Linked DNA regions of Sus scrofa. Each later gene encodes a partner of the first gene's protein in a complex. Links are inferred from orthologs where the notes say so. Each region holds a gene or a part of one and is shown in the gene's direction. Other genes may lie near its edges.

What was found. Proteins that work in one complex are often made in the same cells at the same time.
Region 2: the proteins of NUDT21 (region 1) and CPSF7 are in contact, whole or in part, in a crystal structure (PDB 3N9U), measured with the Homo sapiens proteins. The link is inferred for Sus scrofa from reciprocal best matches to the Homo sapiens genes NUDT21 and CPSF7. Residues at the interface, in NP_008937.1 of Homo sapiens: Arg68, Asn152, Glu154, Pro156, Tyr158, Tyr160, Pro162, Ala163, His164, Ile165, Thr166, Lys167; in NP_001129512.1 of Homo sapiens: Trp91, Trp92, Thr93, Thr94, Asp95, Gln96, Glu112, Lys114, Phe115, Glu117, Asn118, Arg119, Ala120, Asn121, Gly122, Gln123, Ser124.

The regions. Positions count from the first base shown.
Region 1 is NC_010448.4:29,341,507-29,347,755, forward strand, and holds part of NUDT21 (cleavage and polyadenylation specificity factor subunit 5), read left to right. Parts: intron 1-2,639; coding exon 2,640-2,840; intron 2,841-3,761; coding exon 3,762-3,825; intron 3,826-6,249. UniProt on the Homo sapiens protein: Component of the cleavage factor Im (CFIm) complex that functions as an activator of the pre-mRNA 3'-end cleavage and polyadenylation processing required for the maturation of pre-mRNA into functional mRNAs.
Region 2 is NC_010444.4:10,092,285-10,098,533, forward strand, and holds part of CPSF7 (cleavage and polyadenylation specificity factor subunit 7), read left to right. Parts: intron 1-4,191; coding exon 4,192-4,410; intron 4,411-4,542; exon of another isoform or gene 4,543-4,608; intron 4,609-5,251; coding exon 5,252-5,355; intron 5,356-5,693; coding exon 5,694-5,866; intron 5,867-6,249.

The DNA.
Region 1 (6,249 bases):
AGCAAAAATAATAATAGCATTTAAATTACATGTCACATTTTTAAAAAATCCTTATACTATTCCCATGAAGTGGAAAAGGCAAATGTTCTTTTAAAAAGTATGAAAGCACAACCTCTGTATTACTTTCAGTGGTAATTAAGGCTAGAACTCAAAGTTTACCCTTGATTTACTTTTTTTTTTTTTTTTTTTTTGTCTTTTTGCCATTTCTTTGGGCCGCTCCTGCGGCATATGGAGGTTCCCAGGCTAGGGGTCCAATCGGAGCTGTAGCCATTGGCCTATGCCAGAGCCACAGCAACGCGGGATCCGAGCCGGGTCTGCAACCTACACCACAGCTCACGGCAACGCCGGATCGTTAACCCACTGAGCAAGGGCAGGGACCGAACCCTCAACCTCATGGTTCCTAGTCGGATTCGTTAACCACTGCGCCACAACGGGAACTCCCTTGATTTACTTTGATTGCTGGATCAGTTCATATCAGGCCATCATATGGAAGACACTTGATGAAATGTTTTAATTTTTGCTCCATTAAGGTTAGGGATTGATGGATTTGCAGTACTTTTCCTTTCCTACATAAACACAGTAGTCAGAAGTGTGTTGTGAACTCAGTTCATCTGGGTGAGTAACGGTCTGAATTGAAAAGTTTTCTCTCCAGTATATTTTATTAGGAAATGTTGCATGAAATACTGCATGAATGCTTACTTTGTAGCAGGCAGTGGGCATAATAATGCTGGTTATAGTGGTGAGGAAGTTAGGTATAGTCCCTGCTTTACCAAGCTCACAGTATGATGGAAATAGTACATGTGTCTTGGGTTGGCACTCACAGCTGAAAATTCTTAAATTTCTTTCTTTCTTTTTTTTTTTTTTTTCTTTTTCTTTTGCTATTTCTTGGGCCGCTCCTGCGGCATATGGAGGTTCCCAGGCTAGGGGTTGAATCGAAGCTGTAGCCGCCGGCCTACACCACAGCCACAGCAATGCCGGATCCGAGCCGCGTCTGCAACCTACACCACAGCTCACGGCAACGCTGGATTGTTAACCCACTGAGCAAGGCAGGGACCGAACCACAACCTCATGGTTTCTGTTCAGATTCGTTAACCACTGCGCCACGACGGGAACTCTGAAAATTCTTAAATTTCATCTTGATGGCATCTCTTCATTGATGTGAGAGCTGGCTTTTGCAGTAGAGATGTGTTATAGCTATCTTTAATTCTTTCTAACTCAGATTGTGAGAACTAAATGTTAACATATACAAAGCATATTTAAAGTTGTGGGCACACAATGCTGTTTGGAATTGCTGTTGGTAATGACGACGGTGTGTCTACTGGAGATGTTCTTAAAATCTTACACTCTGGAAAAAGTGCATTTTAGTTATTTAGAGCTGCTTCACTTATGCATAGACTTTGGCTTCTGGAATTAAAAAGTAATTTTTAAAGTTTTGGCAGCTTTGATTTGTTCCCCTTTCCAGGATAGCTAATTAGATTAGTTATGTAGTTTCTGGCTTTTGATGCAAAGTGTTTTGATAGAACAGATATTTTGGGGATAGGCAGGTATGGCCAAAGCATTCTTACTCAAAGGTTTATAATCAAAGGCTCCTTACTGTAAGGCTTATGATTGAGGGGTTACAAGGTAGTTCATGTGATGAACTACAAATATGGGTTTTTAAACTACCTTTAAGGGGAAAAGTCTTTACTGGGCAAGAAGAAAATTGTCTTCAATATAAGTCATATTTGGAATTCTTGAGAGAGGAGAGACTGTTCAGATTACATCTGGTGGGCAGAAGATTCAAATGAGAAGGGAAGAAAAAGGTTACTGAATAGAATAAATGCAGAAGGCTGAAAGATCTCGAAGGGAAGGAAAAGTTCATCTGAAGAAGAAACGTACCAGAAAAGTCTGAAGATAGTTGACTGGGAGAAGTAGAAAATAACTGGAGAGATGATGGAAAGTGGTGGCTCAGTTTTTCAAAAAAGAGAGATTAGCCATTGGCACATGAAATTAATAGAATTTCTGATTAGATTAGTAGAAGAACCCAAGGGCACATCAGCCAGGTTGGCAGTGTTAGTATAGGTCCATAATTTAAAACCAGAGGATTACCTTTTTTTTAGATAGCCCCTCCTCTAAGCATTTAAGGGCTTTATGAATAGTGTGTATGCCTGAAAGTTCAGGTATGGAGTAAACAACTTGATCTAATGGAAGCTCTGGCTTTAGTGTCCAAAGATCTAGACTCTAATATTTTCTGTTTTGTTAACTTATTTTTTTTTTTTCTTTTGTCTTTTCTAGGGCCGCACCCGCGACATATGGAGGTTCCCAGCTAGGGGTCTAATCAGAACTGTAGCCATCAGCCTATGCCACAGCCACAGCAACGCCAGATCCTCGACCCACACCACAGCTCACAGCAATGCCGCATCCTTAACCCACTGAGCAAGGCCAGGGATCGAACCCGCAACCTCATGGTTCCTAGTCAGATTCGTTAACCACTGAGCCACGACGGGAACTTCTGTTAACTTATTATTTAACTTCAGACAAATCCTGTGTCTCTGAGTGCAGTATGTACACTTCTTACCATGGTTTTTTAATGTGTGGTTGGTATTCTGGTAAATTATGTTCTGCAGTTGTCATACTAGTTATTTGTCTTTGGATCATAGGTACCCTCTTACCAATTATACTTTTGGTACAAAAGAGCCCCTCTATGAGAAGGACAGCTCTGTTGCCGCCAGATTTCAGCGCATGAGGGAGGAATTTGATAAAATTGGCATGAGGAGGACTGTAGAAGGAGTTTTGATTGTCCATGAGCACCGGCTACCCCATGTGTTACTGCTTCAGCTGGGAACAACTTTCTTCAAATTGTAAGTGTCATTGGAAATTAACAGCTTTTAATAGGATTGCTGTTTTATGCAGCTTTGAAATAGTTTTAGCACTAAGTCACTTATCACAACAAACATTGCCGTTAATGGAGTTTTGTTGAGGGTGTTGGCCAATGGCATGCAGGAATCCCTAGGCCAGGGATCCAACCTGTGCCACAGAAGTGACAACACCAGAACCCTAACCTGCTAGGCCACCAGAGAACTCCATATGGAGTCTTCAGGGAAAAAAGTCATAAGGATTTTTTGCCTAACTAGAAATCTGCATGTTTCTATATATTGTTGATGCTAATGACTGAGCCTGATAGAAGCTTCTGGGAAACAAATTAGTCCAAGTTCAATTTCTAAGTGTCATTGTAGCATTACTAAGAACAATTGATACTATTTCTTTCCTAGGATGAATAGTGTTGCTATTCTTAAAATGGCTTATATTTTTATAGGTAATTGTTTAGTTTTCTCATTTAAGTTTAGAAATCTCTCAGTTTATGTATAGTCCACAACTGTTTGACCAGATTGTACTAAAGAATTCTCAAATGAGTTCTTGAAAAATGCCCCATTCTTCAGGTCTAGAGAGTGTGGGTCCACTGCTCTCTGGGCATTTCTAGTCTCCAGATGGCGTCCACGGAGAAAAGATTGGGATGGACTGCTTTCCAGCAGTTATATGATGTTTATGTAGCGGTATATATTTTTTCTGTTTAAAACTAGGGTTTGTGTACTGTTAGTCTGATAAATTAGCCTCATGAATTTGACTTTCTAGCACGTTCTTGACATTTGTTTGCTTTAATTGCTTTATCGTGTAACACTGAAATATGTGTTAAACAGTACTTCATAGAAATGATTATTGTGTCCTTCCTATGATCCCCAATTGTGTTAAGTTGGAAGCTGAAGTTGTTAACCTTTATACAGACCAGGTGGTGAGCTTAACCCAGGAGAAGATGAAGTTGAAGGACTAAAACGCTTAATGACAGAGGTATTTTTCAACTTAACTATTCTGACGATTTCGTTAATGTTCATCTAAATACCATCAACTTAATGCATAATCAGTTTTTTTGTGTCTTGTGAAAAGGATGGGTTTATTTATTTAGTTTTCAATAAATAAAACCTCAAAGTGTTAGTACAGTGTTTATTTTCTGAAAGTTTAACTTATACTTTATCTTAACATTATTTTTCATTGAAATGATGTGGCAGTCATGTTAATGAAATAGCATTTACTGAGTAGTGCTGCTAAACACTGTTCTAAGTGCTTTACATGCAGTAACTCCTTTAATCATTACAACAGCACTAGGAAGTAGGTACTGTTATTAATCCCATTTTATAGATAAGGAAACCATGGCACAGAGGGTTCAAATAACTTGTTTTATGTTATAAAGCTATTATGCCCTGAAGCTGGAGTTTTGAGTGCAGGTGGTTTTGTTCCAAAGTAGGTTTTAATAGACTTTTAACAAGAGAATGATTCCTGTTGTATACTTAATTCCATTTTTGAACATTCCTTTTAAGGCTTTACTCAAATTGTACTAGTTTTTAGAAGTCATTCTAACGTCTGCCTCTAAAGATATGGGGCCAAATGCATAGATGCTGGAGATTTTTGACATTATAGCTTGTATTCATTATTAAATAGTTTTCTTTTTTAGCATGCAGTCCCCACCCCCCCATTACAAACTAATATATATTCTGTGCAAAAACCTTGGCAAATGTAGAAAGTAGAGGGAGAGACAAAACTAAAATCACCTGTAGTCCTATCTCTTTGATCTACTGGTTTGCCTTTGTAGTATTTTTTAAATGTGTAAAAGCTTTTAAATATTGTACATATGGTAGTTATACTTACCCCAGCTTTTTCTCAAAACTCCACCAAAAAACAGTTAAGGTGTTTTAGAAGATAGAAATCCAGTAGTATTGAGGGAGTGCAAAATGAGACAGAAGCAAGAACAAATTTTTAGAAGCTGGAAAGCAGATGAGCAAATCATAACTGACCTAGCAGAAACCTCAGCACAGCAGAAGGGCAGTCAGGACCCAGCACTGCAGAACACCAGAAAGGCTACGGGGTTGGAGGTGCCTGGTGCCTGTGAGAGTGGAGGCTTGCATGAACTGAACACTGAATGGACTGGCAGTCTGTATAGGATGTGTTTATATACCTAAATTGTCCTTCCCAGTCTGTATATTTAGGCAAAGACTGGCTGCTGATGAATTCTCTATAGAGACTGAGTCAAAAAATACTAAGTAGTGAAAAAGTTGAGGTGAGGAGCATCAGTGTAAGTTTACATCTTGAATAGATGGACTTCTAGACTTCTAGGCAGTTAGAGTGTTAACTAGTTTTACATATGCCAGGCTGAAGGTTTTCCTTCTGGAGAAAGTGATTAATTCCAAAAAATACTCCAGATGATGGATAGATGATGTTTGGTCATCTTCCCAGAGAAATAGTCCTATCACTCATGCATACAGAGGTGACAATTAAGCATCTTATTGTTTTACCCTTAACAGTGAGCGGATTACCAAGTGTCACCACACTTTTGAAGAGAGTTTTTTTTTTTTTTTTTTTCCTTCTTTTTAGGGCCATACTCGTGACATATAAAGTTCCCAGGCTAGGGGTTGAATCAGAGCTATGGCTGCTAGCCTGTGCCACATCAACACAGGATCTGAGCTACATCTGTGGCCTACACCACAGCTCACAGCAACACCGGATCCTTAACCCACTGTGAAAGACCAGGGATTGAACCTGCATCCTCATGGTTACTAGTCGGGTTTGTAACCCGCTGAGCCACAGCAGGAACTCCCTGAAGAGAGCTTTGTAACAGGAGATCAAAAGAAGCAAAAAGAACTCAACAGAAACAGATAATTCAGTAATCAACAGAATTATGATTATGATTTTTTTCCTTCAATGGCCTCACCTATAGCATATGGAAGTTCCCAGGTCAGGGATTGAATCCGAGCTACAGCTGCAGCAATGCCAGATCCTTAACCCACTGTGACAGGCTGGGGATCAAACCTGCACCTCTGCAGCAGCCTGAGCCATTGCAGTTGGATTCTTAACGAACTGTGCTATAGACGGAACTCTGATTAATATTTTATTTATTTATTTATTTTTGCTTTTTAGAGCCTCACCTGTGGCATATGGAAGTTTCCAAGCTAGGGGTTTATTCACAGCTACAGTTGCTAACCTACACCACAGCCACAGCAATGCCAGATCTGAGTCTCTGACCTTCACCACAGGTCATGTCAACGCCAGATCCTTAACCCCACCAAGTTGGGCCAGGGATCGAACCTCCATCCTCATGGATGCTAAATCGGGTTTGTTACCACTGAGCCACAATAGGAATTCCTGATTAATATTCTTAATGTTGTAAAAGGAGATAACTGCTGACGTAGAACTGTGTGCCATTAGAAAAAACTCTATAGC
Region 2 (6,249 bases), on another chromosome or scaffold:
TTTTCCACTTAAGTTGTAGAATTAGGTTTTGCTTAAACTGTGGAAATCACCAGCTCATTTGGTAATCAGAAAAACCTCAGGCCCTCAGCTGTTTTTCTGTCTTAGTAGCTGAAGAATAAAATTAGCTGATATTGCTAGCAGATTTAAATCCAAACACTTGATATGTTGTTTCTTCAATAAAATCTTCAGCAGAACCTTCAACAGGTCCTCCTTGTGCATAAGAAATAAGAACAGTTCCCATAAACTTGTTTGAACTGGGCCTCTATGGTCTAAAGAGACCGTTTGAATCTTGTGATAAGGTAATCCATACACCAGGATTTTCCAGGATTGAGTCCATCATATTTTCTGAGGAACACTGAAAGAGTAGGTTGTTTGCCTAGGCTTACAGTATGGGGGATTTCATGTTTGATCTTTGAGCTGTCCAAATCTGCATGTTTACTACCCAGTTATCAGCACTGGTTTATGTTTTACAACTTTTAGACAAGCAGCTCTGGATCACAGATACCGCATGGAAGGAATTCCAGTTTGGTTCCACTGACCATCCAAGACGTCGTTTCCTCATTCCCTTTAAGTTCCATTTCACAATCCTTGATAGACGTATATATATATATATATATATATATATATGTATATATATATACACGCCCTGGTGTGAAATGTGAGGTACTGCAAAGGATTAGAGCATTGGAGAGGATTGGGTGGTTTCTAAGTCCTTTCTCTACCCTGAACCATAAGGGCAAATATTCTTAGTACATGAATAAATAAGTGGTTTGTCTAGAGTTAGGATTGAGACATAAGGCTGTGGATGGAGTATTTCACACACAAAATGTCCAGTTATTAACCCCAGCTTTCTTCACCTTTTTAATTTATTATCCATTCTGTGCTTTCCAATGTTAGCTTCTCCCCATTCCTCACATATATACTCATCCTTTTTTATGCAGTCCTTATTTACACATTTGATTACTTAAAGTCTTCTTGGGCTTATTTGCCTCACTGATTCCCTTTGCCTTGTTTTTTTGTTTGTTTGTTAGTTTAAAAGCCACACCTGCAGCATATGGAAGTTCCCCGACTAGGGGTTGAATTGGAGCTGCAACCACAGCCCCAGCAACACGGTGCAAGCCAAATCTGCAACCTATACCACAGCCCACAGCAACGCAGGATCCTTAACCCACTGAGCAAGACCAGGGATTAAACCCATAATCCTCACGGGTGCTAGTTGGGCTCGTTAGTGCGAGCCTGGTTCCTTTTCTTGCTCTATGTTGCCCTTAAAAGTTTACTTTTAGGAGTTACGTCATGGCACAGCAGAAAGAAATCCGACTAGGAACCATGAGGTTGCGGGTTCGATTCCTGGCCTCACTCAGTGGGTTAAGGATCTGGCATTGCTGTGAGCTGTGGTGTCGGTGGCAGACACAGCTTGGATGTGGCATTGCTGTGGCTGTGGTGTAGGCCGGCAGCTGTAGCCCCGATTAGACCCCTAGTCTGGGAACCTCCATATGCCACCAGTGTGGCCCAGAAAGACCAAAAAAAAAAGTTTACTCTCAGAGTTCCCCAATGGCTCAGCAGCTTAAGGATACAGCATTGTTACTACTGTGGCCTGGGTTCAATCCCTAGCAATGTTCAAATTCCTCTTCTGTTGGGCTTCTTAAGTATTTGTAATATTTGAAGCTGTTTACATGCCTCAGGAAGTAGCCTCCTCCCCCCCCCCCCATCAGCAGGACAGTAGGATTGTCTGGGTGTGCAGAGGTCTACCCTTGTACTTCTGAGAAACTGAAAGATTGTTTCTGAAAGTTTCTGATGGATGGTGGGGTCTAAGATTGCATTTTGTAGTGAGTCTCTCTCCAGTCTCACTTCAGAAATAGCAGTTCTTGCGATGGTATTGAAGGAAGAGTGGTACTGGAGCTTCCTGTCCTGAGTTGAATTAGGGGAAATGATTCTCTTTCTTCAGGGATCTAACCAAGTTACCTAATATAAATTCTTTTTTTATTCCCTTAATATGGGCACTTCCTTTATTCCCTTTTTTATTTTTAATTTTTAGTATTTTTTTTCTTTCTAGGGCTGCACCTGCAGCATATGGAAGTTCCTAGGCTAGGGGTTGAATCAGAGCTGAAGCTGCCGGTGTGTACCACAGCCACAGCGACGCCAGATTGAGCCGCATCTACAACCTGCGCCACAGCTTGTGGCAACCCTGGATCCTTAATCCACTGAGCTAAGCCAGGGATCCAACCTGCATGCTCATGGATACTAGTCAGGTTCTTAACTCCCTGAGCTACAGTGGGAACTCTCTTTATTGCCTCTTTTAAAAGACAGCAATGACATGAATGAGGTGCAGTTTCTTTAAAACACTCCAGACTTCCTGTCTTTGTCATTTTGGCAGTATCATATTTAGCACTGTTTGGATATTTTGTTTATTTATTTATTTTTATGGCCACATCCATGGCTTATGGAAGTTCCCAGGCCAGGGATTGAATCCAAGCCACAGTTGGCAACTTATGCCACAGCTGGGCAGCACAGGATCCTATAACCCACTGTGTAGGGATCAAACCTGCAGCAACCTAGGCCTTTGCAGTCAGATTCTTAACCCCTGTGCCACAGCGAGAACTCCCTGTTTGGATATGTTCAAATGTTAACTGAAAAATTATTTGTCTGATCCTTAAAATAAAAAGGTCCTCTCAGAGATAATGATGTTGTAAAATCTGAAACATTAGGTCCCTTAATAGTAGTTCTTGTGGTTTTAGGATTTTTGATACGAGTGTTAACGTGGGCTGCTATAACAAAATACCAAAAGCCGAACAGCTTATCAACAGCTAGTTTTTCCCTCAGAGTTCTGAAAGATGGAAGGCTGAGATCAGGCTAAGGTTTTGGTGAGCAGCCCCTTTTGGTGGCAGGCTGCCAAATTGTATCCTCACAAAGAGCAAAGCAGAGCAAGCAGCTCTCTGGACTCTGCTAAGGGCATTAACCCCTTTCATGGGCTCCACCCTCATCCCATCCTAATTACCTCCCAAAGGCCCCACCCCCTGATACCGTCCCATGAGGAGTAGGGTTTCTCTCTGTAGGGGGACACAGACTTCCAGTCTATAATAGCAGTATGTTACATAGGCAAAAGTATACTTTGCCTGTCTTGCAGAATACATGCTCATATTGTAAATGCTTATGATATGGGCGCTTGTTCCATTTCCTGACCCTTATATCTTAGAGCTCTTGCACTGCTTTTGTGTATCATTGAACATCTCTGGTGTTGCTCAAAGATGTCTCATAAATGTCACGATAATGCATTAGATCTGCATGTCATGTGAGAAGTGGAACCTGTAAGGGGAAAATCGCTAGTTACTCCCTTTTTGTTTTTTAATTTCTTTTGATGGTTAATAGAAAGATGGGGTTGTGTACTATGAGTTTTAGAGCTTCCCTAATCGTTTGTGTAAATCAAATAGTTTAAACCAGGAGTTCCCACTGTGGCACAGTGGGATCGGTGGTGTCTCTAGAATGCTGGTATACGTGTTCAGTCCCCGGCCCAGCACAGTGGGTTAAGGATTGCCACAGCTGCAGCTCAGATCTCATCCCTGGCCCAGGAACTCCATATGCCGTGGGGTGGCCACGGAAGGAAAAAAAAAAAAAGTAGTCTAAACTAGTAACTCCCATTCTATTTCCATATGCTGTGGGGTGGCCACGGAAGAAGAAAAAAAAGTAGTCTAAACTAGTAACTCCCATTCTCTTTTGTATTTTGGTTCCCACTTTAACATGTGTTTCCCCTGCTTTCCATTTCTAAATAAGTATATTCTATTTCTAATAGAGTAGTGTATGGAAGTAGCATATGATGTTGAAAATAAATTTTCATTATCTTCGATGTGGTCTTGAGAAGCTGGCCTCATTGGTTGCAGTAGCAGGTGCATCTCTATGCATTCTTAGTTTGCTTATTTAATCATCATGTACCTTTTGAGTCTCACAGTTGATAAAAGCTAGAAACACCACAGACTCCTACCAGTCTTGGAAGAAACATCTATATAAACGTAACTAAGTGTTAAAGATGTTTTAAATGGGAACGTTTTTCTTCCTAGTTTCCTAGAGTAGAATAAGGAAGTTGTGTATATTGTTTTATCAACTCTCTGGCTGTGGATTGTAAGTAAATTAGAGTAGAATAGAATGAACAAAATGAAAGGCTTTCAAACCCACCTTTGCCAACCCCTCATCTCTTAGGACCCAGAGTTCAACAATACAGATCAGATTGACCTGTATGATGACGTGTTGACAGCCACCTCACAGCCCTCAGATGACAGAAGCAGCAGCACTGAGCCACCTCCTCCTGTTCGCCAGGAGCCGTCTCCCAAGCCCAATAACAAGACCCCTGCGATTCTGTACACCTACAGTGGCCTGCGTAATAGGCGAGCTGCTGTCTATGTGGGCAGTTTCTCCTGGGTGAGCATGCAGAACCAAAAAGGCTTGTGGGCGGGCTGGGGGGAGAGCACTGGGAGGTGATGGCATTTTCAAAAACCACTGTTGCACTGTTTTGTGCTCTGATGGGGTTGGATTTCTTTTTCCTGGGATCAGGTTGGATTGATCTCTGAAAGAGAACTATCCTGAGGACGTACTGGTGCCGAAGAAAGCAATGATTAAGTGGGTAGTTGCTTTTTCTGCCATCTTGTTACTGCCCCTGACCCTGGGGCTTTATGTCTCCCAGGGTCATCTGTGGGATGAGATTTCAGAGTGGACACCTCAAACTCTTGGTAGTCATTAGTTGGTCCTGTGATAATGATGGGTGAGAGGGATCAAAGACCTTAACAGCTTTAGTACTTTTGGGGTAGGTGGTGATTGTTATTCAACAAAAGTTATCATGTGACGTGTTTGGGGACTGGTAGTGGTCCAGTCAAATTAAATTCAAATTAAGAAATATGTATCTTGAGGGGAAATTAGTGACAGTGATCAACTCTAGCTTATCAGATCTATAACCAAAAGCTGCTAGTAATCAGTGTTTAAACTGTTGACCAGCCAGCCCAAATGGCAGTTAAAGTTAAAATAGGTTTTAATCTTCTTAATCTCTAATGATGGGGGTTGAGGCAGGCGTAGGTGGTTTTGGAATTCTCCATGGGTGAAGACGGTAGGAAAAATCTGCACTTGATTGAAATACCCATGGCCTGGGTTTCCTGTGGGGGGTCATGGTGATGACTAGAATCCTAGGTGTGGGGGAAGGGTTTGGGGTATTCTGGGGGAGGGGGTGTAGCTCTTGACATTTCTTCCTTTTCCATCTTGCCGGCCCCAGTGGACCACAGACCAGCAGCTGATCCAGGTTATTCGCTCTATAGGAGTCTATGATGTGGTGGAGTTGAAATTTGCAGAGAATCGAGCAAATGGCCAGTCCAAAGGGTGAGGTCCGGATTTGAGAAGCCCCTTTTAGTTTGTAACCATTGGGATAACAGATGTGTACTGTCATGTTGGCCCTGTAATGTCATCCCTCCCACCCCTGGCCCAGTTTACTGCCTCGGCTTTGGCAGACTACCGTAGAATGGGGACCTAGCTGCAGTGTGCAACGTCCATCCATTGAGGGGCAGAGAAAGCTGGTTTCTCATTCGAAATCAATAGGAAAATTTTAGGCCGACACCTTTTCGTTGCTGGTAGTTCACTAAGAGTGGAAGAGAATTTCTGTGTTCCTCTCTTGGTCGTCTGGTAGATCTCACTCATTTTTTTAATTTTTCTTTCTCAAGGTATGCTGAGGTGGTGGTAGCCTCTGAAAACTCTGTCCACAAATTGTTGGAACTTCTGCCAGGAAAAGTTCTTAATGGAGAAAAAGTGGACGTGAGGCCGGCCACCCGGCAGAACCTGTCACAGTTTGAGGCACAGGCTCGGAAACGTGAGTGCGTCCGAGTCCCAAGAGGGGGTACGTGGAGACCATCTGTATGAAGGGGGGCACTTGTTGGTTGGTTTTCTGTGGGGTGGGCTTGGCCTACAATGTGGAGAAGTTTGAGGGAGGGTGGTGGTGATTACGGGTGGCACCCTGGCAATGGGTAAGCCAAAAAAAATGAGGCTTGTTTGTAAGACAGACCACTATGCTAGGAGTCAGGAAGGTTCAGGTTATAGTTTGGTTCTGCCACCAACTCATTGTGTGACCTTGGATGAGTCACTTGACTGCTTAGGGCCTACTTTCCCATCTGAACTAGACACACGATGTATAAAATTCCTGTTAAATCTAAATTATGTGTTTCTATCTAAAAAAAAAAAATCGGTGTATGGCAAATGGGCTTACAGTTGTAAGACATGTCT